4 linked regions of the Diceros bicornis minor genome follow. The protein of the gene in region 2 purifies or fractionates together with the protein of the main gene of each other region. This does not show direct contact. Links are inferred from orthologs where the notes say so. Each region holds a gene or a part of one and is shown on either strand. Other genes may lie near its edges.

Region 1 (7,049 bases), on a different chromosome or scaffold from region 2:
AATATAGAGACAGTAGAATGGAGTCCCTGAAGAAGAAAAACAAGCTTTGGACCAAAGCAAACATTTAAAACTATAATTAAAGAAAACTTTCTGAAATAGAAGAAAATAAAGTTACAGAACAGTCAATACTAAGATGTACACTAATGAAACTATTGGACTTTCAAGATAAGGAAAAATATCCTTTACTCATCTAGGCAAAAAAATTCCAATTCACTTATATGGGAGAGAAATCATATTGGCATCAGAATTCTTACCAGCAGCATCAAGATATCATGTAGAGAAAATATGGTCAAGGATTTTATATTCAGCCAAATCTCCCTTCAAGTATAAACATCACAATTAGAAACATACAAAAGCTCAGGAAATATTGTTCCTTCCTAAGGAATCTCCTAGACAACACATTTCAGACAATCACAAAATGATTTGAGAAGCTCCAATACAAAGAAAATAGAGGAGAACGAAAGACTAAACAAATTCAGATCGTGAAATTCTTTCCCAAGGAATCTCCTGCTTCAGACAACCAAAACATGATTTGAGAAAGCTTCAACATGAGAATAATATGGGGGAATGGAAGAACTGACAAATCCAGAACTTCCCATCAAACAACAGATGTAGTTTCTGCAACAAATCAATGACATGAAACAAGCAGGGGAGCGGGTGACTTGTGGGATGTAACAACTAAAGGTAATACATGAACTCTCTTTTGATCCTGATTCGAAAAAAAATGAACTATAAAAAGATATTTTTAAACAATCAAGAAAACTGATTATGGATTAGCTATTAGATGTAACAAGGAATTATTACTAATTTTTAGTATGAAAATTACACGTAAAAATGTTTGAAATTTTTTAGAGATACAAACTGAATTACATGGGTATAGAGTGATACGGTCAGGATTTTTAGAACAAAAGAAAAAGTGATGAAGCAAACGCACAAAAACTTAACTGCTGAATCTGGATCATAGGTATATGGGAGTTTACTGTATTATTCTACTCATGTATGTTTGAAATTTTTCATAATAAATTAAAAAAATAAAACTAGAGGTATATGATCCAGATACACAGAGGCATACTAGACAACTATACAAAGACAACTATTGATCAGGTCTCTCAGTCTCTAGGTCTCTCTCATGCACACACACACACCGCAGAGAATATACATAGAGAAAGATAGGAAGAAAAACTGCAAGACAGGTAGTCTTACTACAGAAAGAAAAAAGGACCTAAAAATAGACAATTCTCTTATCTAATAGGAGTTGACCTCCTAAATTAAAAATACTAAAGTGTAGAAATGTGCTGAGGGGTAGAAGAGGAGAAAGCAACAGACTGACTTGGAAGTTATTTTGCAAATGTACCAGTCTCTGTGCTTTCTGGGCAAATTATTTAACCCGCCTGAGCTTTAGTTCTTCAGGTACAGGAGGGGGATAGAAGACGTCCTAATCTACCTCAGAGTCACTGCAGTGATCTAATGAGACCATACAGGAAAAAGTGCTTTGCATATTGTAAGCATGATGTAAACATAAAAGAATATCAATCATTAGGTGTCTGTTTCCTCTTGCCCAGATGTATCTCAATTACTTAAAGTAAAATAAATATTAACTGCACATGTCATCTTCTAATTCTTATTTTCTAGGCTAATATCATAAACACATCACATTTTAACTTAACATCTAATGTCATACTCACTACTCCTGTGTAATAGCGTAGTCCAACTACATGACCTCGCAGAGTTCCAAATAAAACTGAATCGAGCTCTTCATCACTAGTCAGGAAGTCATCTGGAGGAATAATATCTTGGAATTCAAAACGGGGAAAGAAAGTTGGATATGACAGGCGTGGAAAATTTCCGGGGACTCCATATTGGACAGTCTGCAAGTACTTCCAAACAGGATCTCTGTCAAAAAAAAAAAAAAAAAGGACACACTAAAATAACACAATATTTAACCAAATTTTTCTCAAAGACCATACCATATTTATCGGCCAATTATCTTACCACACTTTATGTCAACAAATTACACCTTACGTGGGAACCGCTGCATCGAGACTTACAGCGAGTTATCCCGGTGAAAGCGGGAACTGGAGCGAGCGGAGGGTTTCCAGTAGCCCCACCCGTTCAGCGACGCCTCTCCACCCACGGGGATTCAAAACGAGAACCCCAGCAAGGGTTCCCAAGTCTCTCTCCTAGCGACGATCGTCTACCGAAGCTGAGACGTACGCGACGTCTGCAACTTCAGTTACACGCCAAAACGTCATGAGGGGCTGCGCGAGAAGAGACTTGCAAATGCAGGACCACTTTCACACCTGCAGCCGAGCCCGTCCCTGCTGACGACACAGCCAGCACCCACGGCGGCGATTCCCTCCGAGCAGCACGGTCGTTCCACTCACGCATCCCACCACCGCACCGAGCGAAGTCGGCCCCAAGCCCCCCACCCGCGCCCGTTTAAGGGGAACCGCAATCCCGCTGCGGACAACGGTCTCAGGAACGGGCAGGCGAGCCAACCTGGACCCCGAAGAGTCCGGGGTCGCTTCCGCCGCCTCGGAACCGAGAGAAGCTGTTCCGCCCCGTCGCGCGCCCCTCTCCGACTCCTCCGCAAACACCCCCCCGCACGTCCGAGCGCGCGCACGACCGGCCGCCAGCGGGGAAGGGGCCCGCCCCCGGCCCTCTACCGGGCCAGCGCCCAGCGCACGGGCATCCGCCGGCCGCTCGTCGCATAAGGCGCAGGTGGAGACGCGGCTGAGGGGCCCAGGCCCCGCCCCTGACTGACCTCCCCACGGCCCCGCACCGGCCGCCGAGGAGCCTCCCCTCGCCAGCCCACACTCGGCTGCTCTCGCTCCCGCGGCTGCGAGCCCCAGCAGCACCGGGCCGCGGAGCGAACGCGGGGAAGGTCAGGTTCATGTGGGGACGCCGCCGGGCCGTTACCCTCGGCGCCCCACCCCGCCCCCTTCACCTCTTGAACATCCAGGAGGACATGGCGCTGCGTGGGTGACGAGGGCAACGCCGGGGCGCCCGCGATCGTTCTCGAGCCGCCTCGACACGCCTCCTTCCGGGCCTAGCGGGCGAGAAGCCGAGGACCGGTTTGGGGCGCCGGAGGATGGACGAGCTAGCGGGAGGCGAGACGCCGCGAGCCCAGTCAGACGTCGACGCCGTCTCCTTCCAGCAACAATCTGGGAGCCCAGCGGCGCTTTGTGACTGGCACGGGGGACGTCCAATCGCGAGAAGGGAACCTACGGAGACGAACCAATCAGAGCACGGAACGGAGGGCAACTACGCCCCGCGCACAGATTCAAAGACCGTGGGGGGTCCCGGCTGCACCGGCGGTTCCATCCGGGTTCTTCCCCGCCCCCAAGATGGGCGCGCGGGAAAGGCGCGGGAGTGCGGGAGTGCGACCGCTGCGCCCGCGGGTCTGCGTGTTCTGTGCGAGTCCCTGCCTCAAACAGAGGGAGACGACTCTCCTGTCGGCTGCTTCCGCCGAGCCCCAAGCCTCAGCCTCGTTCTTCAGCCCTACCTCAGCTCGCCTCTAATTTTCTCCTCATCTGATGTGACATGTGATAGGGTCTTCCGCTGGCTTGCGAGCCCGCAGCTACCACCTTCATTTCCTGTGGTGAACCCGGGCAGCTGGCGTCAAAATACTCATTTTCGCCAGCGAATCCACGAGACACACCGAGTTCAGAGGAGCTTCCTTGGCGTTCAGATTTATGGAGTCCCCCCGCCCTCTTTTTTTCAAGGAAATTTTTCATTTCTAGCGAAGCCGCAAACTGCGACGCCAGCGCACTAACGCTGCTGGGGAGCGCTGCCCCGGCACGTGCTGCCCTCAGGGGCCGCCCGGGCGCCCAGGCCTCCGCGGCCGGCCTCTGAGGGTCTGAGGAGGGGAGCAGCGCTCGGCTGGCGTCGGTCGGCCACGGCCGTCCGTGCGGCCCGGGAGCCGGGAAGGGGCGGCTGCCGACTGAGCGGCCGTGCCCGGCGCGGCGGCGGCGCCGGGGAGCACGCGGAGCGGTCCCCGGAGACGGGCGCGTCCCAGAGCAAGGGCGGCCGTGGCTGTGAGCGACGCTGACACGTGCCCGGGGCGGAGCGGCCCATTTCCACTCCCGGCGGCAGTGCGAGGTGCGCAGTGCAACAGGGTTTCGAGAGGCGTCTGTTCCTCCTCTTCAGCTGCCGTGATCTGTACGCGTGGACCCGCAGCGGGATGCGAAATCGAATCCGCAGCAATTTGTTACTTCATTGCACTAGACAGAAGGAGGTGGTGACGAAGGTGAAGACAGTGGCATTTCAAATTATTTTAATTATTTTACTTCTGGAAGTATTATGAAGCAAACGGCAATACAGTTCAATTTTTGGTGTGCCAGATTCTAAATAACCTCTCGGAAAATACACCAGAAAATGCCCAGATTGAAAATGTTTTGTGTGTAAAATTAATGAAGAAGCTATGCTCATTAGACTGAAGGATAAAATTCCAAATATGAAAATACAGGTAAACGTGACTCTTTCAAGACTTAAGACCTATGAGTAATGACTGTCCCATGGTTCAAGAATGCGGATAGAATGAAGTAAAAATTTGCTATTTAAAGTCAACATTTTTGTCCGTGTTGTCACTATTTTACATCTCAGATCTAGCAGTTGAACTTGAAAACATTTACTTAATCATTCTTTACTATTTTTATTTTTAAAAATGAACTCCAGTTTGTACTAGTTTGATTAAATGTTACAACAGTTACAAGTTCATAACTATCAAACTGGATAATGTTTTCTGAGAAATGAACATTTGTAACTGAAAAAGAATGGGAACTGTACAGTGGCTTGTGTGTTGGACCCATGTGTCAGGAGGAGAGTGGCACAAAGAGGATAGTGAGGAAGATTACATAGAAACTTACAGTCTGTGGTCGAGTTTGTATTTTATTTTATTTTTTTATATATCTATTTTTTATTTTTTTCCCCCAAAGCCCCAGTAGATAGTTGTATGTCATAGCTGCACGTCCTTCTAGTTGCTGTATGTGGGACGCGGCCTCAGCATGGCCGGAGAAGCGGTGCGTCGGTGCGCGCCCGGGATCCGAACCCGGGCCGCCAGTAGCGGAGCACGGGCACTTAACCGCTAAGCCATGGGGCCAGCCCTGTATTTTATTTTAAATGCAATAGAAAGCCATTAAATGTTTTAAGCAGGAGAAGGACCATCTGAATTAGGCTTTAAAAAATTCACTCTGGCAGCTCTGTGGAGAATGGATTATAGGGAACAAGAATAGAAGCAGAGAGACTGATAGTTGATAATTAGGAAACGATTGTGTCCAGGTAAGAGATGAGGGTCACTTGAAATGGGGAGGTGATGAAGCTTAGAGAACCAACCGGGTTTGCTGATGGATGTGGATATGGATGCTAGAGGAGAGCAAGGAATAAAAAATTCCTCCAGCTACCCACCTCCCAGACACAAATATACTTTTTCATCCTCCCCACCTTTTAATTAGTCATGTTACTCCCCTGTTTGATGCTATGAGCGTGAAATCAAAGAAAGGCAAGTGTGGCTCTTTATAATCTGTCCCCTACCTCCCACTCCTGTCACCGCCCAACCCACCCTGCTTACAATGGCCTTCACTAACTTCTATAAAAATTATGAATATTTTCATACATAACTGTAAGGCTATTCTTACACCCAACAAAATTAATAATAGACATTGGTGTCTTCTAATAACTAGTTCATACTTGAATTTTCACAATTATCTCAAAAAATGTTCTTTTATACTTTGTTAACAAAATAGAATTTTGAAGCCCTTAGCAAAGAAAATAACTTTAAGAATATGAATTTCCAAAAGTCTGGCCTCAACACAAAAACTTCTAAATTTATGTCATAAATAATAGATTCTGGAAGAATATATGATGTTGTAAAAGTTTGTTTGTTTGCTTCACTCCCCCAAAATGAGATAGAGACAAAGTTCAATGGAAGAGGAGAATTTTCAGGAATGACATAGGAGAGTTCACAGAGTAAATCTCTAAGTGGATCTTAGGGAAAGGAACTGGAATGCCATCACCCTGGGCCAATCCCCACAAAGAGAGCGATGGTAGACAGCCTAGCAAAGTTTCTGGAGATCCCATAAGAAAGGAAAGCTATGCCTCATTTTCCAGAGAGTAGCCTCAAGATTCTATAGATCTTAACGAGAGCCTCAGAGATCAGAAATGTACCAGGGCAGTAAGAGTAAAGGCTAGTGAGGTGGTTCCGTTAAGGGGCCCAAGGGTAGCCTTTTGAAATCCTACGAGAGTCCCCAGTGGCTGTCCATCACTGTGAAGGCTGGAGGCCTTCACTAGATCATGGTTCCAGCAAGGTTAAGCAGGAGGCTGGTGCCTAAAGATGAGGTAGGATGAGTTATATCAGCAGTGAGTGCCTGCAGAAGATAAATGGAGTCCAAACATAAACCTCCTAAAGGGTAAGAAACCCGCATTTAATTGACTAAATCTTAAAATGACTGAACAACCTGGAAGTGACTAAATTAAGTTACTTCCCATTAGGCGAACTAAGGTTTAAAACAAATTAAGTTCAATAAAAAAAATAAAGATTTATCTTTGCAAATGGAGTTAGTGGTTGAAATTATACATGCTATACATCCATAAACACATACATCTCAATGAATTTACACATAGATTTTTGTGTGTGTGTGTAAGGAAGATTAGCCCTGAGCTAACATCTGTTGCCAATCCTCCTCTTTTTGCTGAGGAAGATTGGGCCTGAACTAACATCTGTGCCCATCTTCCTCCATTTTATGTGGGATGCGGCCACAGCATGGCTTGATAAGCCGTGCATAGGTCCGCTGCCAGGATCCTAACCTGCAAACCCCAGGCCAGCGAAGCAGAGTGCACAAACCCAACCACTAAGCCACTGGCTGGCCCCTATACCTAGATTTTTATAACAGATAACTCTAGCCAGTTGAATTAGGGGATTTTCATTCTCTTCTTTTTGCTTATATGCATGTAAAATGTTCTTGTATTGAACATATATTGCTTTTTTGCTATAAGAAAATAATAAAAGATATAAACTAAATTGTAGTAAAGAAATTATGAAGTTTTTCAAC
Region 2 (6,964 bases):
GCCACAAAAGGCAGCAGCCACACTTGGGGCTTAAGATTATGGCTCTACCACTCAGGAGCAATGTGTTCTCAGTCACATTTCTCAACTCATCTGTACCTCAGTTTCCTCATCTGTAAAACTAGGAATGATAAAATCATTATGAAAATTAAATATACGGTGAAATACCTAGAATACTACCCAGTACATTGTATGTACTCAATAAATGTTAGTAATTATTATGTCAGCTATTGACCCTCACTCTTTATATCTTCAATAGCTTTTAATAAGGATATGAAGGAATCAACTATGTTTTTAAATTTTACTTTATGGTATTTTATATGTGAAGTTATATGATATATTAGTATTTACAGATTTGAAATTTGCTGAGGTCCCATGTTTTAGCTCTCATTCTCTACTATATGTTATGTTTTCACCTATCACAGGTGAGATTTTCATCATATTTTCAGCATAAGAAAACTAAGAACCACTATGGTTAACAGGAGCAAGAACAATGGCTTTGGAGCCAGACAGTCCTATAGACCTGTGTTCAAATCCCAGCTCCACTGCTCTGGACACACCACCACCTCTCTGTAAAATAAGGATATCCACCTTTCAAATTGTAAACAAAACATATCATGTATATAAAAATGCTAATGCCAATCTCTACATGTAGTATGTATTCAACAAATATTACTCCTCAGGTAAAAAAGTTAGATATAATGATTGAGGTGTTAGCAATACCTTCAAATTCATCTCAAATCACAGATATTTCTTTTTTTTTTTAATGAGCACCTATTATGTGCCAGGAACTGATTGCAAGGAGTTCCTAGTTTGTTCCAAAAAGATTCACAGGGAATGTACCAACACAAATATGTTTAATTTTGAAAAAGATTATTTTCTAGCTGACTATGAACACAGGCTACTGATAGTACTGTATGAAACCATCATTTTTATAGGTAAAAAATGGTCAGTATTGGAAATTTCACAAGGTTCAGTAAAATATAACAGGTTTATAGTCCATAGGAAACATTTTAGATAGGGCATTTATCTAACTTACCATGGAAAAGGCACTAGATTTAAAAACAAAAAGATCTGAGTTTGAGTCTCCAGTTTATAACCATCATCATCTGAAAAGCTGTCTTAATACACTGCCCAAGCTAGGGATTCTGAGACAAAAATTCTAACAACAGGAAGGAAGAAGGGAGAAAAGATGAGAATCAATCATTTATCTTTTGTTTTCTCCTTCCTCTTTCTTCCTCCTCAAGGAAGACAAAGTTAGAGGACTGGAGTCCCCTCTGGTCTTCCTGAGAAAAAGAAAACTACAATAGACAGAAGCTGCTCACCAGATTTTGGATCTGCTCAGCATTGTGTGTGCCCCGTCTGGTTCCAGTTACTTAGCAGCCATCTGAGCTTAAGTAGTCCCTTAATCTCCCTGAGCCTCTGTTGTGCAATGCAGTAAACAATCAACGCCTTATGGGATTATATGAAATAATTTATATGAAAAATATAAAGCAACATCCAAATGTATGGGAACTATCAATGAATTCTTTCCCACCAGCACACGCCCCTGAATTAACAGTTCAGGTAAAAGCTTATCAACCTGTACACAAAACACAGAACCTGCTAATACTGAATCTTAACACCATATCTGATTGACACCCAAAGAGACGACGAATCAACCCTGTATTTAAAGGATGCGATCAACAGCAGTTGTTAAATGCAAACTCATTTCTGCAAGACTGAACACCAAGCATTCGGACAGGTTTTTCCAGATCACTATCCTATACATTACCTTATTTATCACTTCTCAGAAACACCCTGTGATAGAAGTAGTACCGGTACCATTACCAGATGAGCAAAACCAAGGGCCACAGGGTTCTAGGGGCTTCACTAAGCTCACAATGCCAGTCAAAACGCAAAGTTGATTCTGGAGACTATGTATTCTGGCTCCAACGCTCGTGTTCTTTTTATTTCTTTGTTTTATTTTCGTGTTCTCTTTAATAAAAATATCTGGGACCATTTACTGAAAGCGACTGTACCACAGGCATTTTATATATATTAACTCTCACAACAACCTTGTAAGGTATGTATTATTAACCACATTTAGTAGGTACAAAACTGACTCCCAAGAAAGTTAAGAAATTTGTCCAGTGACACCCTGTAAGTCGAGTGTCAGAACCACAGAATGTAGATCTAGTGGACTTCCAAGACCATGCTCTTTCGACTGCTTTTTTATCACTCACTACATTTAATAAATAAAATTTGAATACTCGAAGAATGTAAAACAGGCGATTAATACAAGTCCAGTTTTTCCACAAGACTGATTAGCTATATTGGTAAATTCCAAAATAAAGCCAAGTTAACAGTGGATGCAAAATTAGGGGGAGATTTCGTTTTTCAAACTTACACCACTTAATTATGAGATTCGATAAGACAATAATTGATAATTATCTAAGCAGTTCATGTTTAACGCCCTTCGCGCCTAAATTTTCCCTCGTGGATGAGTTCGGAGGTTCAGGACAGGATAAAATGGAACAAAATACTCTTTCAACTTACTGATTTCTTTTCAGCCTGAGAAGGTGTCGGCGATCCAAAGCCCCCAGGGGACTGTGTGTAGCCGCCGGCTCCCCCATAGGTGGAGCTGCCATAGCTTTCATAGCCACCTGATTTTAAATAACAGTATTAGTATCTGGGCTGCTTTCCATGCTTCTGAAAACTCCGCAGGTCCCCTCAGGCTTCACGCCTCCCAGCCACTCCCAGCACCTCCCTAACTTTCCCCACCCCCTTCCCCTGGGCCCTACACGCCCCCACCTGCAGCTCCCGCGCCTCCCCCACCCCCGCCACACGCCTCTCCGACCCCCGCCCTTTTGCGATGCCCTTCTTGCGACTCTCATCCTCCTCCGCCCCACTCATTACTATTCCACATCTTGATCACGACTCCCTCAGGAAAGAGGCCCAGAACGTTCCGATCTGGTGGGTTCGCCGGACACCTCAGAACCCTGTCGCAGCCGCAGCGCTGTTATCTACTCTTCGCTGGCGCCACAAACACCTTCCCGCGAATGACGAAGCCAATCAGCGCCCCGAACGCTTCTCGCTTCAGCCAATCAATGCTCACGAATCCTACGCTTTTTCCGGTCTTCTCCGGTCACGCTCCTGAAAACGCGCACTCTGCTCCCAATGGGGCCGGAAGCCTGTGCGGCCATCTTTACTAAGGGCAAAACACGCTGCGCCACCGGAAGCAAGGTGCGGCGAGACGCTGACAGGGCGGTGTCTCAAGAAAACAACCAATCAACATAATACTTCCACACTTGGGACATGTAATCCCACCCCTGTCCAGTGAGCGACATCTTACATCACTTCCTTCGGTGGGCGCCCTCCTGTTCCCGCCAAACTCTCTCCAATCAGACGACGCCTTAATCTAAGGGCCTGTAGTAGAATTCCTGCTTCGGCGTCTCCGCCCCGCAGTCGCGCGGTATTTGCGCATCCCAGGAACACAGTGTGCCTCTTGGGATTGCTTGTTCTTTCCCGTAAGGAGCCAGGTTCTCTTCTCGTATCTCCATCCGCTGGTCCTGATTTTCCCTAATAAGGCCGTAAGAAACCTTGACTCTTTTCCCCAGATGGCCTTTCAAAAGATCTGTGGATTCCCCTCACACCTCCCCGCCGCGGTCCCCTCGCAGTCTAATCCAGCTGCGCATCCTCCGTTCCTTCAACTATTCTTCATATACCATGGTTGTGCCTTTCCTATAGAGAGTAGAAGACGTCTGTTGGTTCCTTGCTTTAAATACTGCTACAGTAGATTGTTAGATCCCCCTTCTCCACATTTATTTATTAAAAAATATTTATTGGGGCCCGCCAGGTGACGCAAGTGGTTAAGTGCACGCCCTGCGCTGCGGCTGCCCAGGGTTTGCTGGTTCGGATCCCGGGCGCGCACCGACGCACCGGTTGGCAAGCCATGCTGTGGTGGTGTCCCATATAAAGTGGGGGAAGATGGGCATGGATGTTAGCCCAGGGCCAGTCTTCCTCAGCAAAAAGAGGAGGACTGTCAGATGTTAGCTCAGGGCTGATCTTCCTCACACACACACACACACACACACACACACACACAGACAAATTTATTGATGCCTCTTTTGTTCCAAGTTCCGTGCTGGCCACTGGGATTCAATTGTAAATAAGATAGACATGGTCCCTGGGCTCCTGGTCCATTTTATTTTCTTTTTCTAAAGCTGCGAGCACTATCTTAAACATTTATTAACTCAATCCTGTGAGGTAAGTAAGTACAGTTATTATCCCCATTTTACAGATGGGGAAACGGAGGCACAGAGAGGCTGTTGTGGGAATTGGTGTTCAAGCCCAGGAAGTCTGATTCCATCAACCAAGGTGGTTACTGTACCCTCTTGAACATCCTGGAATAGGGTCACAAACTCAAAGGACAAGTTGGGTCAGGCAGGAAAACTGTAAATGTATTGGGTTGGATAACAGGGAAAATAATTTTACTTTTTTCTCCACAGTAAGGAAAACAACCACACAAATGTAATGGTAAATAGTAATTGATGTAGAGAACGTGGACCCAGGTCATCCAAGTTTTTTTAGCAGATGCTGGAAATCTGGATTTTTATGTAAAGATTTCTGAATTTTAAGTGTTTATAAGTAAATTTTAAAACACTATGTAGGCCAAAGAAAAGATAACCTGTGGACCAGATGTTGCTTGTGTGCCATCTCTTTCCTATGTAAATTGTGTAAGCCTCCAGATCATGGCTGAGAAATAAACAAGATACAGCCGAGGACAAAAGCCTGAGGCTAACCAAGATGACGTTATTATACTAAGCCAAGGGGGTTGAAATTTACATAGTCTGACAAGTAAGAGCATTTTATGACCTATAGGATAAAATGATTTAAGACTATTCTGGGAAATTTAAGATGTGGGTTCACTTGGGTTAATTGGCTTCATTTGGGATTCAAATAGTTATAAATTCAGCTGTGAGGATCATACATTTAAAAATAAATCAAATGAAATGAAAATAACTGCAAAACATCAAAAAATTTTCCACATCTTTTCAAGAGCTTGATGATCTGATAAGTTGAGCAGAGGGCACAGTTCTCAATCAACACTAAAATAATTGGTATTTACCTTTTGTGTGTGTGTGTGTGGTAGTACATTCATCTCTCAAGGTTTAGTTTCGTCAAGTTGAAGTCTTCCTGTCACACGATGGGATTTCCAAGAAGTCTTCCATTTCCAGTCCACGTTGGCTGCTATCAGGAAAACCCACAGCAAGACTGAGAGGAGGAGAAATCACCCTTTAAAAACAATCTAGTGACACACCCATTAGGATGGCTACAATTAAAAAAGCAGAAAACACCAAGTGTTGACAAGGATGTGGAGAAATTGGAACCCTTGTGCACTGTTAGTGGGAATGTAAAATGGTGCAGCCGCTATGGAAAATAGTATGATGGTTCCTCAAAAAATTAAAAATAGAATTACCATATGATCCAGCAGTTCAATTTCTGGGTATATACTCCAAAGAATTGAAAGCAGGGACTCAGATACTTGTACACCCATGTTCATAGCAGCGTTATTCACAATAGCTAAAAGGTGGAAGCAACCCAAGTATTCATTGACAGGTGAATGGATAAACAAAATGTGGTGTGGACATACAGTGGAATAATATTCAATCTTAAAGAGGAAGGAGATTCTGACGTATACTACAACATGGATGAAACTTGAAGATATATATATATATTTTAATAATTTTTATTTATTTATTTTTTTCCCCCAAAGCCCCAGTAGATAGTTGTATGTCATAGCTGCACATCCTTCTAGTTGCTGTATGTGGGACGCGGCCTCAGCATGGCCGGAGAAGCGGTGCGCCGGTGCGCGCCGGAGATCCGGACCTGGGCTGTCAGCAGCGGAGCTGCGCACTTAACCACTAAGCCACGGAGCCGGCCCTAACCTTGAAGATATTATGCTAAGTGAAATAAACCAGTCACAAAAGGACAGATATTGTATGATTCCACTTATATGAGATACCTAGAATAGTCAAATTCATAGAGACAGAAAGTAGAATAGTGGTTGCCAGGGACTGGGGGGAGAGAGAGAATGGGGAGTTATTGTTTTCTGGGTACAGAGTTTCAGTTTGGGAAGATGAAAAAGTTCTGGAGATGGATAGCGGTGATGGTTGCACAACAACATGAATGTAGTTAATGCTACTGAACTGTGCACATAAAATGGTTAAAATGGCAAATTTTATGTAATGTGTATTTTACCACAATTAAAAAAAACTTTTAAATCCACTTTGGTGTTTATTGAGTACATTCCACATGCCAGACACATGCATTATCTCTGTTAAATGCTTAATATGCATTATCTCCCAATGTTTTTGACTTGCCATTTTAACCTCCAAGATTGTTTTGCCTCCACTTTATAAATACATATATTTTAATCAGAACTGTCCCAACACTGATAAAATTTCACTTAGACTTAATTCCCTGTTCAACTTTCTGCACAGTGAGATTTAGCCATTTCTAATTTTTTCCATTTTTAATTTTGCTGAAATCATTTTTATGTGAATTAATTCTCTCCTGGGCAAACTTTACAATGAGGGTTTAATTCATCATTCAAATTTGATCCATACCAAATTTTACTGATTTTTCACATCTGCCACTGTAGTTTTATGGGTGCTCATTATTGCGATCAAGTACAATTTGATTCAGGAGATTTTTTTTTGCAGTTTTCCATGTTATACACCAGATGGGATTTTCTAAACTTTTTTTTTTTGTCTAAGATAATTTTAGTAGGTGGAGTAGCCATTTCAGTTTTATATTGTATTGATTATTTCTACCAGTAATAATCATCATGAATTGGATAATATTAGAGAGGCTTTTATATGTGACACAGAACACTCACAATATTTGTTGAATGCTCGATTTATTCAACTCATAGCTAATAAAACTTGAAATCAATCTTTTCAGTATTTAAATGTTGTTTACA
Region 3 (7,421 bases), on a different chromosome or scaffold from region 2:
TTCTAGAGAAACTCACACACGCATAGGAACGTCTGTAGAAGGGCTGTATTAAGGGAAAACTTTGAAGAAAACAGTTTGTCTATCCAACAAGAGTTTGGATAGACAAATTTTAGTGTAGTCATATAACAGAATCTAATCATCAGTGAGCATGACTAAACCAGATCTACATGTATCGATGTGCAAGATTTCAGAAATAATGTTGATTCAGAAAAACAAGATGCAGAAAAATATTTTATACATTTATATTTGAAGTTTAAAAGTATGCAATACTATATATTGTTGAGATACATATATTTGAGACAAATATTGAAAAATGAGAAACGCTCCAAAAGGCCAGCAATAGGGGATTGGTTAAATAAACTTTTACAAAACATAAATTCAATATGATCTGTTTGAAAGGATAAGGTAGATCAATGCTATTTTAAAAGCAAGATGCAATAGGTGAAAGAACACAGAATAGCTTATTATTCCTTTTTGGTAAAATTACACATAAATGTTAGTAAATGAACGGGAGCAGAAATTATGAGAGTTGGGAGCAGAAGGTCCACAAGCACCAAATCCTCAATGTTTATAGTAGGAAACAGATAATGTCTAAAACGAGGGGACAGGGGGCATGAGGGGTGGGAACCACTCAAGAAATAACGATACAAGCATATTACTTAAAGAAATAGAGGTAAATACCACATTAAACAGTTATAGGAATTGAAAGTCATTGCTCCAAGGACTGAAAAACAGGAGTAGAAGAGTCAGGCATGTTAAAAAGCCTTGGCCTCTTAACTGACTTTTAAAACCACAAAGATGTATTATTTGAAATAAAAATTAAACGTAAAAGAAGATTCCACCATGAGTCACCTTCAAAGTGTAAAAGTCTATCACAGAGAAACAGGATGGATTCTAAATCCTAATTAATATTAAAAGCAAGCAAACAAAAAAACCTACTAGGACTTTCAAACAACTACAGAAAATGTGCCAACAGCTTGAAAAGATTGTATCAGTCAGTCAAGTAAATATATTTTTAATGAGTGTCTATAAATGTACAGTCCTAAGTAAATAGACAATAAACTCATAGATAAGATTTAAGATTTTGATAAATGCTATGAAGATAACAGAGAAATATGGCATAGAACACTAGGGAAGGAGGGAGGCACACCTGTTTTAGCTAGAGCCACCAGCGAAGGCCTCTCTGTGGGGGAGACATTTGAGTGAAACCTAAATGATAAAGGAATCAGCCATGCCACGTTTTAGAGGAAAAATATGCTAACCACAAAGCAAGGCAAATGCAGTGATCCTGGGACTGGAATGAAGTTAATGAGCTCAAGGGACAGAAAGGTCAATGCGACTAGAATATAGTGAACCGGGGGTAGAGTCGAAAAGGTAACTTTAGAAAGGGTCAGGAGAGTTAAGCGTTGCACAAGGGAGTAGCTATAGTAGCTATAGCACTGGATTATAGAACATAAGCTGGAAAACAACGCCATGAAAGAAGTTAGAGAAAGTGAAAAAACAATGTCAGGAATAATTGTGGAGACGAAGAGAAGGAGCCAGGTGTTAACTGAATGAGGGCAATATGCTTCAAAGGACGTAGGGAATCTGAAGGAGAAACAGATTCAAAGCAGCAACAGGAACAATAGGAAGGTGGAGGTTACCTACCCCACCAACAGACCTTGAGATGTGAGAAAAACAGCCTCTTCTTGAAAGGGTTATTGATTTCAAGAGTATGCGGAAACAGCAAGCAACCTGGCAGCAGGACACCTGGATTTAAAGCCCAGCTTTAGCAATTACTACCTGTGTCATCTTGACAAGTCACCTAATCTCTCTAGCCTCAGGTACCTCGACTATAAAACAGGGATATTTATTTTACCTACTTCACAAGGTTGTTTTGGGGATTAAATGAAAAAATGTAAGTGAAAGTGCTTGGCATATAGAAAGTTAGCTAAATATGACCGAAGTTTCTTGAATGAATGCAAGTAAGAAAGCTCCTTAAATCATTTTTAAAAACGCAGCACATCAATGGTGTTAATGCTGGTGAAAGCCTTTCATGGTAAATCTTTACACAGAAAATACAGATATGATACACACCGTGGATGCAGGTGAGGCAGAAATAGTGACCTGGAAAGATCATATTAAATAGCTCTGAGGACCCAACAGATAGGCAGTACTCGTCCCCTTTGCCAACATCTGAGTTTACAGAGCGATCATAACTTATAGCTTCCTCTTCTTTTCAATTACAATTATTGGAACAAAAACTAGTTCAACCCGAGTTCCACCTTGGAACATAAGAGGCTAATAAATTCTATTTTCTCTGAAAGTGACATGGTAACTCCTCATTAGCAGAGCACGGTGAAGAGCAGTAAAACGGCCATCCATCAGCTCACACATACAGACGTCTTCAAAAAGACTCAAGGAAAACAACACACTGTAAACTCACTTTCTTAATGGCGACAATTTGGTTGGTGTTCTTGTCTCTGGCCTTATAAACCGTGGCAAACTAGAGAGAAAAACAGGAATAACGTTAAGTCTGCGGGAGTTTTTCTGTTTGTGGTTGCCTTTTTACTTTTTTAGATTTGGGCGAAGCAAAGAACCAGGGTTCTCGGAGCCGACTCGCGGCGGCCTGAAACGTGGTGGGGCAGTCCACGTCCCGTTCCAGCCTGCTCTGCGGAAAGGAGGGGGCCGCTCAGGGGCTCACCTGCGGGCGTACCGCGGGGCGGCAGGGGGCCTGGGCAGCCTCGCCCAAAGGGAACGAGCAGCCAGGCCAGTCCTCTGGCTTCCACTTCAGCCTGCCAGCGTGAGGCGGCTCGGCGCTCTCTGCTCAGGGCCCTCCGAATCCCGCCCCAGAGTCTCACCTGTCCCTCCCCGAGGAAGTCCAGTTTTTCATAACGCTTTGCTCGCGACTTCACGTCCACAGCCATCCGTCGCGCGAAGCCGACTCCAGCTGAAAGGGCCGAGTTCTGAACACAGCAGGAATTTAAAGCTACCTTTAATCCCCCAACAGCCACTTCCGTTCACTGGTTCCGACGCTTTATTAGCTCCGCCCCCACATCCGGGATGGGCGTGAGTGACATTAAATAAGTCCAGCCAGAGCCCGCCCTACGGAGGCTGTGCGAGGCCGGGCTCGCTGGTTTGCTGCTATGCGCCCCGCGCTGTCACGTGGTTGCCTGTTGGTGCCGGAAGCGGCGTGTTTTCGGCGATGGATGTCTGTGTCGCCCTGTTACCGCTGTAACTTAGACATTTTCTTCACGACTGGGGACGGGTCACCGTTCTAATACGATGTTCTGAGTTCGGGCTTTAATAGGTGTGTATGAGTGTGGAAAGCTTGGCCTTGTCCCTGATCTCGCTTTCTAGTTGTTGCTCGAGGGCGTCCTGTCGCCACGGTTACTAAGAACGCTTAGCCCCGCAATGTCAGATTATTTAGAGGAGTGCCCAGTTCTTAAGGGCTGGTCAAGAGGCATTCTTAGCCCACTCCCTTTATGAAGAAGCACACCCAGGGAAACAAAATCCAAGTCAGCTCAAGAATTTTGTGCTTTGAAACACACCATATGGTCTTCAGTTTTCTACTCTGTAAAATGAAAATAATAATAGACTACATCATAGGTGGTTGTGAGGATTAAATGAGACATGCAGAAAGTTTAGACAGAGTAAGTGCTCAATTAAATGTTAACTGGTGATCAGTACCCAACTTTGTCATAAATTTTCATACAAATCAAAATTTAAACACATTAATTCATTTATTCAATGAATATATATTGTTTACTGTGTGCCAGGCTCTGTTGTAGACTCTGAGAAGTCAGCGGGCCAAAAGACAAAGATCCCTGACTTCCAATGAGAGGAGAAAACAAACAAGTAAAATATGTGTTGATACATAGTGATAAGTGCTATAGACATAATAAAGCCGGGAAAGGGCATAGAGATAGTAGGGTTTGCAGTTTTAAACAGGGTGGTACAAGAAAGATATCACTGAAAAGCCACTGCAGAGTTTTGAGCAGACAAGTGATATGATCTGACTCAATGTTTTAAAAGGTTCACTCTGACTGTTGTGAGAGACTAAACTATAGACTTAGAAGGGCAAGGAAAAACAAGAAGGCCTGTTAGAGAATTATTGTAATAATCCAGTTGGCTATATTAAGTGCTACATGTTTGGCTTCTAGCCAATAGGATTTGCTAACAGTCTGGATATGGGTTGTTGGGAAGAAACAGGATAATTCCAAGGTTTTGAGCTCTGGAGCATTTGATGTTTCTAAGAATTGAGAATCCTGATTTTCAGAGGTATGTTGGGAAGGCATCGGAATACCAAGACACAATTTGATCAAGGTAATAGAGTAAAGGTTGAGTCCTTGCTCTGGATCTAGATACTTGCATTTGAATACTGGCCTTACAAATATTTAATCACTAGATGTGTAACTTGGGCAAATTATTTAACCTTGCTGTTCCTAGTTTCCTCCTAATAGGAACTACTCATAGTGTTGCTGCAAGGCTTAAATGACCTCACACTTCAAAAAACCCTTAGAATAGTGTCTGACAGTGCTCATTTTATGTTAGCCATTACATAACTACTATTGCTTATCTTCCAGCTCTTTGTCACTACTTGGGTCTTTATTGAGCTCTAATATGTTCATGGGAAAAATTCTCATACATTGCAGAAAACACACCATCTTTTACCACTTATATCTCTTAACTGTGGCAAGTCATACCTAATGATACATGGTGTCACATGACTTGGGTCAAAGTTCCTTCTGAAAGACATCACTGTAACAGTAATCTAACCTCACTTGTAGTAGAAATAAGCTAAACAATGAGCTAAATTTGATGGTACACCTGTGAGGCTTGAGGTTCCCAAGTGTGCCATGCCATATGAATTGATAATCACTCCATTATACCATGCTGCTGACAAGTAAATTCCTGTTTGGGGACATTTTAAATAGGGTAACAAAGGCAGTGTTTAGGTGATATTCTGGGTTCATTAGATCATTGTATATATAAAATACCATCCAGCATCTGTATAGCATTTTACAGTTTACAAAGCACTTTCACACATTGGTAGTAGCCAGCTTCCAAGATGGCCCCAGTGATTCTTGCTTTCTGGTATTAATGCACTTGTGTAGTCTCCTCCCACAACAAAACAGGCTGTTCTGTGTGACCAATCAAATATGGCAGAAGACAGTGTCTGCAGCTTCTGAGTCTAGACCATAAATGGCATTGCTGCTTCTGCCTTGCATGCTTAGATCATTTGCTCTGGGGAGAAGTCAGCCCATCATGTCATGAATTAACTCAGACAGCCCTGTGGAGAGGAACTGAGGCCTCCTACCAACAGCCAGCATCAACCTGCCAGCCACGTGAGTGAGCGACCTTGGAGGTAGATCGTCCAGCCCCAGTCAAGCCTTTAGATAACTGCAGCCCCAGTTGGCATCTGATTGCAACCTCATGAGAGACACTGAACAGAACTGTGTCTGCCTGAATTCCTGACCCAGAGAAACCATGAGCTATTAATTGATTATTGTTGTTTGTAGTCACTAAGCTTGGGGGTGATTTGTTACAAAGTAATGGGCAATACACTAATTTGGTCCTGCCTGTCACACTGTATAGTACCGGAGAGGAAAACTGAAACTTGGACAAATTAAGCAATTTGCTAATGGTTACATATATTTAAGTGCTTAACCTCTAAATGAAAATACAGGCTATTTACTCTAAGCCTAGCCAGAATTCTTTCTATGACACCATCCTCCTTGGGAACTCATCCTGTGACAGCAATTCCCTCTGACATGCCTTTTTGCCATACCTGTACTCACAAATTCTGTAAAAGTGATATATTTTTTCTTTGTGACTTTCATGGCAGCAGCTGTAGTAAGGTGCCCTGCAAGCAGTTCCAGTATTGGGCTTTCTAACTGCTGGCCCATAGTATTGCTCAAGCCAGTCGTTTTTTTGGGGGGGGAGAAAGGTCAGCCCTGAGGTAACATCCATGCCAATCCTCCTCTTTTTGCTGAGGAAGACTGGCCCTGGGCTAACATCTGTGCCCATCTTCCTCTACTTTATATGGGATGCCGCCACAGCATGGCCTGACAAGCGGTGCATCGGTGTGCACCCGGGATCCAAACCCGGGCGGCCTGCAGCAGAGTGCGCGCATTTAACCACTAAGCCATGGGCTGGCCCCTCAAGCTAGTCTTAATTACTTGAACCCACTCTGTTTCTGAAAGCAAAAAAAATGTCCTAGGCTTCTTTTTACTGAAATGAGAAAGCTAAGAGAAAAATGAGAATAGTGCTAGTTTTTAAGAAAATTTCCCAAATAAATTTCTTAAAAAACAAAATCATAAATCATGTATTTTTCATGAGTCACCAGAACAGCTTATTGCCGGCACCAAACCCCTACCTCATATTCAAGTTTGCCAATGCTTATACTAGGCCAGAAAAAAGAATTTAGAAGAGAAGATCAACTCTAAAATAGTAAAAACAAAAACAAAAACAAAAACACAGTAAACATTAACCCATAGGGAACTGGGCAAATGTAGAAACGTACTTGACAACAGTTCTACTCTGTCTATTGCTCATGATCTACTCTTATTTTTAGGGATGACTTCTTTAAAGCATATTTTAGAAATCATTAAAGGTGTGGAAGAGAATTTATTGAGCTTTGTTAGGCTTTACTTTGACAATAATACATACCTTTGGCACAGGAAGACTCTATTAATAAAGTTTCATAAATTGCCTTAATAAGGTAAATATTTAGGTTGATTTTATGAGGCTTTCAGACAGTAAATTTGAGAAAATTAATGGTTATCAGGATTTGCACACATGATCTCAATCAAAAAGTAAAATAAACCAAAGAACAAGACTATCTTAACACTCTTCAAAACATAATAAATTGCAATTTCTACTCAAACATTTATTCCTATGCTATATTCACTTGATTTCTTAATTTATTTTCCATTTTCCATTGACATTTGTTTCTGAATATAGGTTACAAATAATCTTTGTGTTAACACCCCAGTCTTATTACCACAAAGCCACTTGTTTTACTTTGCCTATATTTGTATCATTTACAGTAGGATACGCTTATTAAGCCAATTATACTGCAGTAAATTTGTGAATGAAAAACGTTAAGAGAATTAAGAGCAAATAATGGAGTCATTATTTCACTGATCCTCCTCCAATTTCGGGAAAAGCACTTCCCGAAAGCAGCAATTTTGCCTGATAAATTCTTTCCATATCTAAACAGAAACTGAAAGAAAAGTGAAATTATGGGAAACCTGTGATAGTTTACGAGAGATTGTGTGCTTTTAATAGTTCAACACTGGTAATACTTGATAATCAAGAGTAAATTAATAGGCTAACATTTAAAAATGTATACTTTAATAAGTATAAAGTATATAAACCATTAGGTAAGCTTGTGGAGAAGCTGACCAAGATACATAAATTAGGAGATACAGGTGTCC
Region 4 (7,577 bases), on a different chromosome or scaffold from region 2:
CAAAGCAGGAGATATACGTAGAAAATCACACCTAGACACACCATAGGCAAACTGCTAAAAACCCAAAATAAAGAGAAAATCTTGAAAGCAGTCAGAGAAAAATGGCATGTTACATACAGAGTAACAACGCAAATGATGGCTCCATCTTCCACAGACTTAAAAAAACATACTGAGGAGTAAATTTAGCAAAAGATGTGTAAGACCCCTGCACTGAAAATTGCAAAACAGTACTAAAAGAAATTAAAGAAGATTTAAATAAAAAGGGAGATATACATGTTCATATATTTGAAGACTAGATACTATTAAGATGTTAATCCATCCCAATCATAATCCTACCAGACTTTTTGGTAGAAACTGGTAAGATGATTCTAATATTTATATGGAAAATGCAAATGATCTAAACTATCCAAATCAAATTTAAAAAATAACCACAAAGTTGTTGGCCTACACTATGTGACTCCAAGACTTACTATAAAGCTATAATATTTAAAACAGTGTGTTACTGACATAAGGATTGATCAATGGAACAGAAGAGAGAGTCCAGAAATCAACTGCCATTTATACAGACATCTGAATTTCAATAAAGTTATCAATGCAATACAATGGCACTCTCAACAAATGATGATGGAACAACTGGATATCCATGTGGGAAAAAAATTTAATATTTTTCACAAAATAATTTTCACACCATTCACAAAAACTAGAGCTGGATCACAGGCCTAAACATAAAAGCTAAAACTATAAAATTTCTAGAAGAAAATACAGAAGTATATTTTCACAAACTGGAGGTGGCCAAGATTTCTTAGACAGGACTCTGAAAGCAATAACTATAACAGAAAAAAATGATAAATATGACAACATCAAAATGTAAAACTTTGCTTATCAAAAACAGCTCTAAGAAAATGAATAGCCAACCACAAACGACTGATATCCATAATATAAAAAGGATATATAAAGAACCCCTACAACTCAATAATAAAAAGACAAATAATCCAATTTAAAATGGGCAAAAGGGCCGGCCCCATGGCTTAGCGGTTAAGTGCGCGCGCTCCGCTGCTGGCGGCCCAGGTTCGGATCCCGGGCGCGCACCGACGTACTGCTTCTCCGGCCATGCTGAGGCCGCGTCCCACATACAGCAACTAGAAGGATGTGCAGCTGTGACATACAACTATCTACTGGGGCTTTGGGGGGAAAAAAATAAATAAATAAAATCTTTAAAAAAAAAAACATGGGCAAAAGATTTGATCAGGCACTTCACAAAGGAAGATATAAAAATATCAATAAGCACAAGAAAAAGTGCTCAACATCATGAGTAATCAAGGACTAAAATTAAAACCTAATAACATACCACTTTACATCCAGCGGAATGGCTAAAAATAAAGACTGACAACACCAAAAGTTAGCAAGGATGTGAAGCAACTAGAACTCTCATACACTGTTGGCAGGAAATGGGCTAATAAAACTACCCAGCTGTAAACACATGCTACTCTTCATGAAAAAAGAAGAATGACTTGAAGATGAAGCCACAGGTGCAGAGGGTAGGGCAGGCCACAGAGGATTAGTCCCAGGCCTTGAACCCTAATGGTTCTTTACATACCTTGGATATCAGTCCTTTGTCAGATAGGTGTCAGTGCTTGCCTATTCATTTTCTTAGAGTTGTCTTTGATGAGAAGTTTCAAATTTTGATGTAATCCAATTCATCTGAGTAGACACCTTAAAAGGGTCTAGGAAGTCAAAAAGGGGAAACAACCCAAATGCCCATCAATTAACGGAGAAACACAATGTGGTATATCCCAACAATGGAATATTAATATTCAGCTATAAAAAGGAGTGAAGTACTGACACATGCTACAACATGGATGAACCTTGAAAACATTATGCTAAGTGAAATAAGCCAGACACAAAAGGACAAATACTGTATGATTCCACTTATATGAAATTTCTAGAAGTGGCAAATTCATAGAGACAAAAAGTAGATTAGTGGGACTGGGGTTAGGGGGAAACGAGAAGTATCTGCTAATGAGTTGGGGGTTTCTTTTTGGGGTGACAAAAATGTTCTGGAATTAGACAATGGTGATGGTTGCACAACCTTGTGAATATACTAAAAACCACTGAATTGTTCACTTTAAAAGTATGAATTAGGGGCCGGCCCCACCACACAAACGCTTAAGTGGGCGAGCTCCTCTCTGGCGGCCTGGGGTTCGCAGGTTCAGATCCCCGGTGCGCACTGAGGCACCGCTTGTCAGACCATGTTGTGGCAGCAGCGTCGCATATAAAGTAGAGGATGATGGGCAGGATGTTAGCTCAGGGCCAAGCTTCCTCGGCCAAAAAAAAGAGGAGGATTGGCATCAGTTGTTAGCTCAGGGCTGATCTTCCTCACAAAAAGTAAAAAGAAGAGAAAATTTTTTTTTAAAGTATGAATGTAATAGTATATGAACTATATCTCCACTTTTTTGAAAACATCTAGAAAGGCTGAATACGCGTCTAAATTGAGTGTCAAATTCCTTTTAAATGGGTAATTCCTGCCCAACCGCAGCCACTTCTTCCAACTCCGATCAGCTACCGACACAAACTTCAGCGCTCTCCACGCCTGTCAACAAGCAGCAAGCAAAGGTCTGGCGCCCGTGCAGGGAACCGCCCCAAGCAACGGGACGCCGCCCTCACCCCGTCGCGGGTCCTGGTGCGTGCGCCCCGTGTGGCGGCGCAAGTCCCCTGCACCCCGCCCCTCCCAATCCCACTCGCAGTTAAGCCCTGCTCCTGAACCCCCACTGGACTAGTCAGCACAGGCCTCCAGTCTCACGGCCACTCTGGGGGCACCGCAGGCGAGCTCAACCGCCGCCCCCGGCGCCTGACTCAGGATCCGAGCCGCCCCGCGCTCCACAACCCCAGCGCCGACCACCCCAGCGGGGCCGCTTTCCCTTCCCACTTACGCGCCTCGCGCAGCGCGCGGCGAACGCACGCAGCTCCCCTAGACTAAATGCGAAGGGAATGGAGTTTACCCACAGCCGCGCAGAGGAAACTGGGAACGAAGCACAAGAGAACCCTGGGAAGAAGGTCCAAATCGAGAGAGAGCCGGGGGTGGGGCGAAAAGAACAGGAGGGGGGAGCCGTAATTCAAGTCGGAAGGGGAGAGGAGCCGCAAAGCAATCTTTCGACAGCCGTAAAGCAAGCTGGAAGCGCGATGCTGACCGCTGCGTTCGGAGCCGCTGTCTCCGCCTCGCTCTCTCTGCCTGTGGCTCCCCGACGCCTGCCTCCAGTTCTACGGCCGCCCAGATCTCTGCTGCCCCCTGGCGGGTCCGGCCAGCTCGCCCGGTGCATGCGGCTTAATCTAAGGCCTCTTAGGGCCCACTTCTCTCGCCCCTTCCCACAGGACCTCACAAACCCAGTCCCAGTCAGAGTGCGGTGATGGGGCGGGCGAAGAACTTCCTGGTATTATTGGTGCACACTAGGGATATTGCAGGAAAGGAAAACCGTGCTTTTAAGTCTTATTAAGAATGGTTGTCAGAGGCCAACCCGGTGGCGGCGTAGTGGCTAAGTGCACGTGCTCTGCTGCTGGCGACCCAGGTTTGGATCCTGGGCGTACACCAATGCACCGTTTGTCAGGCCATGCTGTGGCAGCGTCCCATATAAGTGGAGGAAGATGGGCACAGATGTTAGCCCTAGGGCCAGTCTTCCTCAGCAAAAAAGAGGAGGGTTGGAGGATTTGCATGAATGTTAGCTCAGGGCTGATCTTCCTCACAAAAAAAAATAATGGTTGTCAGAGCTCTGTAGTTTCCACCCCAGACACGCACAGCAAAACCAAGGCAATGTGGACATACTTGTTCACCAAGCCTCCTTTCTCTCCTACCACTGCTGCATACACCCACTGATCCCCGGATGGCGTGTTACATTAGCTAGGACCAGAGGGAAATGTGTGGCGACTTGTGGGAAGGGAGTGCTTCTTTAGAATGTCCCTTGGAACCGTGCCTTGCAACTGGGTGATGACTGCATATCCTGTTAGCAATGCTCAGAAACAGGATTAAAAAGTTTAGTCATCACAAACCCAAATTAAGTACTAAGGACTCCAACAAAATCATTCTCTTACGTTTTACAAATTGGTTGTTTCAATAAACCCCCTTTAATCAGATGGTTCGTTGTCTGAGCAGTAATATTCCATCCAGGGCAAATCATTTCTTGGATGACTTCTCACTCTTCTTAGTAACACCGTCGGAAGCTGAGTAAAAAGCCTGGAATCAGACCCAATGCAGAAATAATTTATTTGATAAAGGTTGCATTTCAAATCAACCAAGAAAGGAATGTTTGCTTTTAAAATGGTGTTGGTACAATTAGTTAACTGTTTGGATTACATTCCTGACCAAAATATACACTAAAATAAATTACAATTGAATTCAAGGGTGAAGTGTTAAACACACAAAGATGCACATAAAACAAACTAAAAAATATACAGATGAATATCCGACCTCAGAAGGGAGAACGGCTTTCTGAGTTACAGATCTTCCTCAACTTAGGATGGGTAAGATAACCCATGGTAAGCTGAAAATATAAGTTGAAAATGCATTTAATACACTAACCTACTGAACATCATAGCTTAGCCTCACCTACCTTAAAAGTGCTCGGAACACTTACATTAGCCTACAGTTGGGCAAAATCATCCAACACAAAGCCTATTTTACAATAAAAAGTTGAATATCTCATGTAATTTATTGAATACTGTACTGAAAGTGAAAAGCAGTATGGTTGTGGGGGTGCAGGATGGTTGTAGGTTTACCCTTGTGATCGCGTGGCTGACTGGGAGCTGTGGCTCCCCTGCCACTGCCCAGCATCAGGAGAGAGTATCCTGCAGCATATTGCTAGCCTGGGAAAAGATCAAAATTCAGGATTCGTGGGGCTGGCCCAGTGGCATACTGGTTATGTTCGCACACTCTGCTTCGGTGGCCCGGGGTTCGCTGGTTCAGATCCCAGGCACGGCCCTTCACACCAGTCATCGAGCCATGATGTGACAGTGTCCCACGTAGAAAAAATAGAGGAAGATTGGCAACAGATGTTAGCTCAGGGCCAATCTTCCTCACCAAAAAAAGAAAAAAATCAAAAAAGTACTGTTTCTGCTGAATGTACATTGCTTTCATACCATTATAAAGTCAAAAAATCTTTAAGTCCAACCATTCTAAGTCAGGGATTGTCTGTATAAAAGCCAAGAAATAAATCGTTAAGTAAAAGATGGATAAATGTAACTACCTACATAAAACTTTTTAAACTTCCGGAAATAGAAAATAAACAAAACTTTAGAAGTAAACAAGAAAAAGGGGGAAATATTATTAACATGTGTGGTAAAGAGAGTTCATATAGGAAAAGTTCTAACAACTCAAGAAAAATAGGCAACTGAAATGAGTGGATATTTCACAAAAGGAGAAATATAATAAATTTGAAAAAAAGATTTAACTTTAATAAAAGTAAAAAGCATACATATTAAAATAAGTGTATCATTTCACCTATTTGCATTTTAAATTAGGAAATTAAAATATTTATTTTTATACAAATATTACATATGTACATTCTTACTGAAAAATACAAACAATAAAAGTAAACCTAACTCTTTTTGAGCACTCACAGCCAAACCAGTCCTATTCTCAGAGTTACCCATGGTTATCAATTGATGTGTATTTTTGCTGTATGTATATTCTTGTATTTATGATTATACACTGAAATAATTTTGTCTGATACTATTCAGTGTAGATGATACTCTCACGCTGCTAGTAGGAATAGAAACTGATGCAACCTTTCAGGAAAGCAATCTGGCAATTTGTATTAAAAATATATACCCTCTGATCCAGGAATTCAGCCTCCAGGACCTTATCAACTAAGGAAAATACCAAAGATGTACATAAAGATTTCTTTATAAGAATATTCTGCACAACATTATTTATCCCTGAAAAATTACTGGAAACAAATTAAAATACTGCATTATGGAATCTATTCAATAATACAGCCACTAGAAATCACATTTAGAAAAATGTCTATTGTTGTGGAAAAATGTTCAAGATGATATTCTGTAGAAAAACAGAGTCCAAAACTATATACATAAAACAGCTTGCCCACACCCATTAGGATGGCTATTATTTAAAAAACAGAAAATACCAAGTGTTGGCAAGGATGTAGAAAAATTGGAACCCCTGTGGACTGTTGATGGGAATGTAAAATGGTGCAAACACTATGGAAAACAGTATGGTGGTTCTTCAAAAAATCAAAAACAGGGGCCAGCCCGGTGGCGCAAGTGGTTAAGTGCACGTGCTCCGCTGCAGCGGCCCAGGGTTCGCCGGTCAGGATCCTGGGTATCCACCAATGCACCGCTTGTCAAGCCATGCTGTGGCGGCATCCCATATAAAGTGGAGGAAGATGCACACAGATGTTAGCCCAGGGCCAGTCTTCCTCTGCAAAAAAAGAGGAGGATTGGCAGATGTTAGCACAGGGCTGATCTTCCTCACACACACCCAAAAAATTAAAAACAGAATTACCATATGACCCAGCAATTCCACTTCCAGGTATATACCCAAAAGAATTGAAAGAAAAGTCTTGAAGAGATATTTGCACATCCATGTTCATAGCAGCATTATTCACACAATAGCCAAAAGGAGAAAGCAATCCTAGCGTCCATTGACAGATGACTGGATAAACAAGATGTGGTAAATACATGCAATGGAATATGATTCAGCCTTAAAAAGGAAGTAAATTCTGACTTGTGCTGCAATATGGATGAACCTTGAGGACATCATGCTAAGGAAATTAATCCCATCACAAAAAGACAAATACTGTATGACTCTACTTACAAGAGTCAAATTCTCCTCAAACTCTACTCAAAGTAGTCAAATTCATAAAGACAGAAAGCAGAAGAGTGGTTGCCAGGGGCTTGGGGAAGGGGAAATGGAGAGTTGTTGTTTAATGGATATTGAGTTCAGTTTTGCAAGAGGAAAAGAGTTCTGGAGGTTTGTTGCACAACAATGTGAATGTACTTGACACTACTGAGCTGTACACTAACAAATGGCTAAGATGGAAAATTTTATATTATATGTATTTTGTCACAATTTTAAAAATTTAAATTAAAATAAAATAATTCTTAAAAGCTTGCCTACAATGAAACAAATCAGAGAGCTTTCATACCCTCAAAAAGCTTACAATGACATGATTAACACCTCGTTCTTAAATATGAGGACAGTAAAGGATCACAAGGAATATCTTTGATGTAAAAGCTATAAAAACAAATGTAAAGAAACCCAAGAGACAAGGTAAACAGAAAAAAAAATTCAAAGGAAATATAAATAATATTCTCAGATAAGAAGATATTGGGGGCCAGCCCTAGTGGCCTAGTGGTTAAGTTCAGTGTGCTCCACACCAGCAGCCTGGGTTTGGTTCCCAGGCATGGACCTACACCACTCTGTTAATGGTGATGCTGTGCTGGTGGCCCATATACTAAAAAACAGAGGAAGATTGGCATGGATGTTAGCACAGGGCGAATATTCCTCAGCAAAAAAAAAAAAAAAAAAAAAAAAAAAAAATATTGTATTCTTGTTCATTAATAGAACA

Evidence for each region.
Region 1: the proteins of RPA2 (region 2) and HLTF purify together in Homo sapiens (affinity purification with mass spectrometry, with the first as the bait; 3 studies listed by BioGRID). This does not show direct contact. The link is inferred for Diceros bicornis minor from reciprocal best matches to the Homo sapiens genes RPA2 and HLTF.
Region 3: the proteins of RPA2 (region 2) and CDK7 purify together in Homo sapiens (affinity purification with mass spectrometry; 3 studies listed by BioGRID and IntAct, with this or other methods). This does not show direct contact. The link is inferred for Diceros bicornis minor from reciprocal best matches to the Homo sapiens genes RPA2 and CDK7.
Region 4: the proteins of RPA2 (region 2) and RAD52 purify together in Homo sapiens (affinity purification with western blotting; 3 studies listed by BioGRID and IntAct, with this or other methods). This does not show direct contact. The link is inferred for Diceros bicornis minor from reciprocal best matches to the Homo sapiens genes RPA2 and RAD52.

What each region holds. Positions count from the first base shown.
Region 1 is NC_080741.1:5,867,457-5,874,505, reverse strand, and holds the start of HLTF (helicase-like transcription factor), read right to left. Parts: upstream 3,009-7,049; 5' UTR 2,971-3,008; coding exon 2,948-2,970; intron 1,894-2,947; coding exon 1,686-1,893; intron 1-1,685. UniProt on the Homo sapiens protein: Has both helicase and E3 ubiquitin ligase activities. Possesses intrinsic ATP-dependent nucleosome-remodeling activity; This activity may be required for transcriptional activation or repression of specific target promoters.
Region 2 is NC_080752.1:43,399,578-43,406,541, forward strand, and holds the start of RPA2 (replication protein A 32 kDa subunit), read right to left. Parts: upstream 3,023-6,964; 5' UTR 2,906-3,022; coding exon 2,896-2,905; intron 2,643-2,895; coding exon 2,536-2,642; intron 1-2,535. UniProt on the Homo sapiens protein: As part of the heterotrimeric replication protein A complex (RPA/RP-A), binds and stabilizes single-stranded DNA intermediates that form during DNA replication or upon DNA stress.
Region 3 is NC_080759.1:8,285,464-8,292,884, forward strand, and holds the start of CDK7 (cyclin-dependent kinase 7), read right to left. Parts: upstream 3,006-7,421; 5' UTR 2,907-3,005; coding exon 2,841-2,906; intron 2,486-2,840; coding exon 2,426-2,485; intron 1-2,425. UniProt on the Homo sapiens protein: Serine/threonine kinase involved in cell cycle control and in RNA polymerase II-mediated RNA transcription. Cyclin-dependent kinases (CDKs) are activated by the binding to a cyclin and mediate the progression through the cell cycle.
Region 4 is NC_080756.1:59,530,179-59,537,755, forward strand, and holds the start of RAD52 (DNA repair protein RAD52 homolog), read right to left. Parts: upstream 3,022-7,577; 5' UTR 2,931-3,021; intron 2,631-2,930; exon of another isoform or gene 1,598-2,630; intron 1-1,597. UniProt on the Homo sapiens protein: Involved in double-stranded break repair. Plays a central role in genetic recombination and DNA repair by promoting the annealing of complementary single-stranded DNA and by stimulation of the RAD51 recombinase.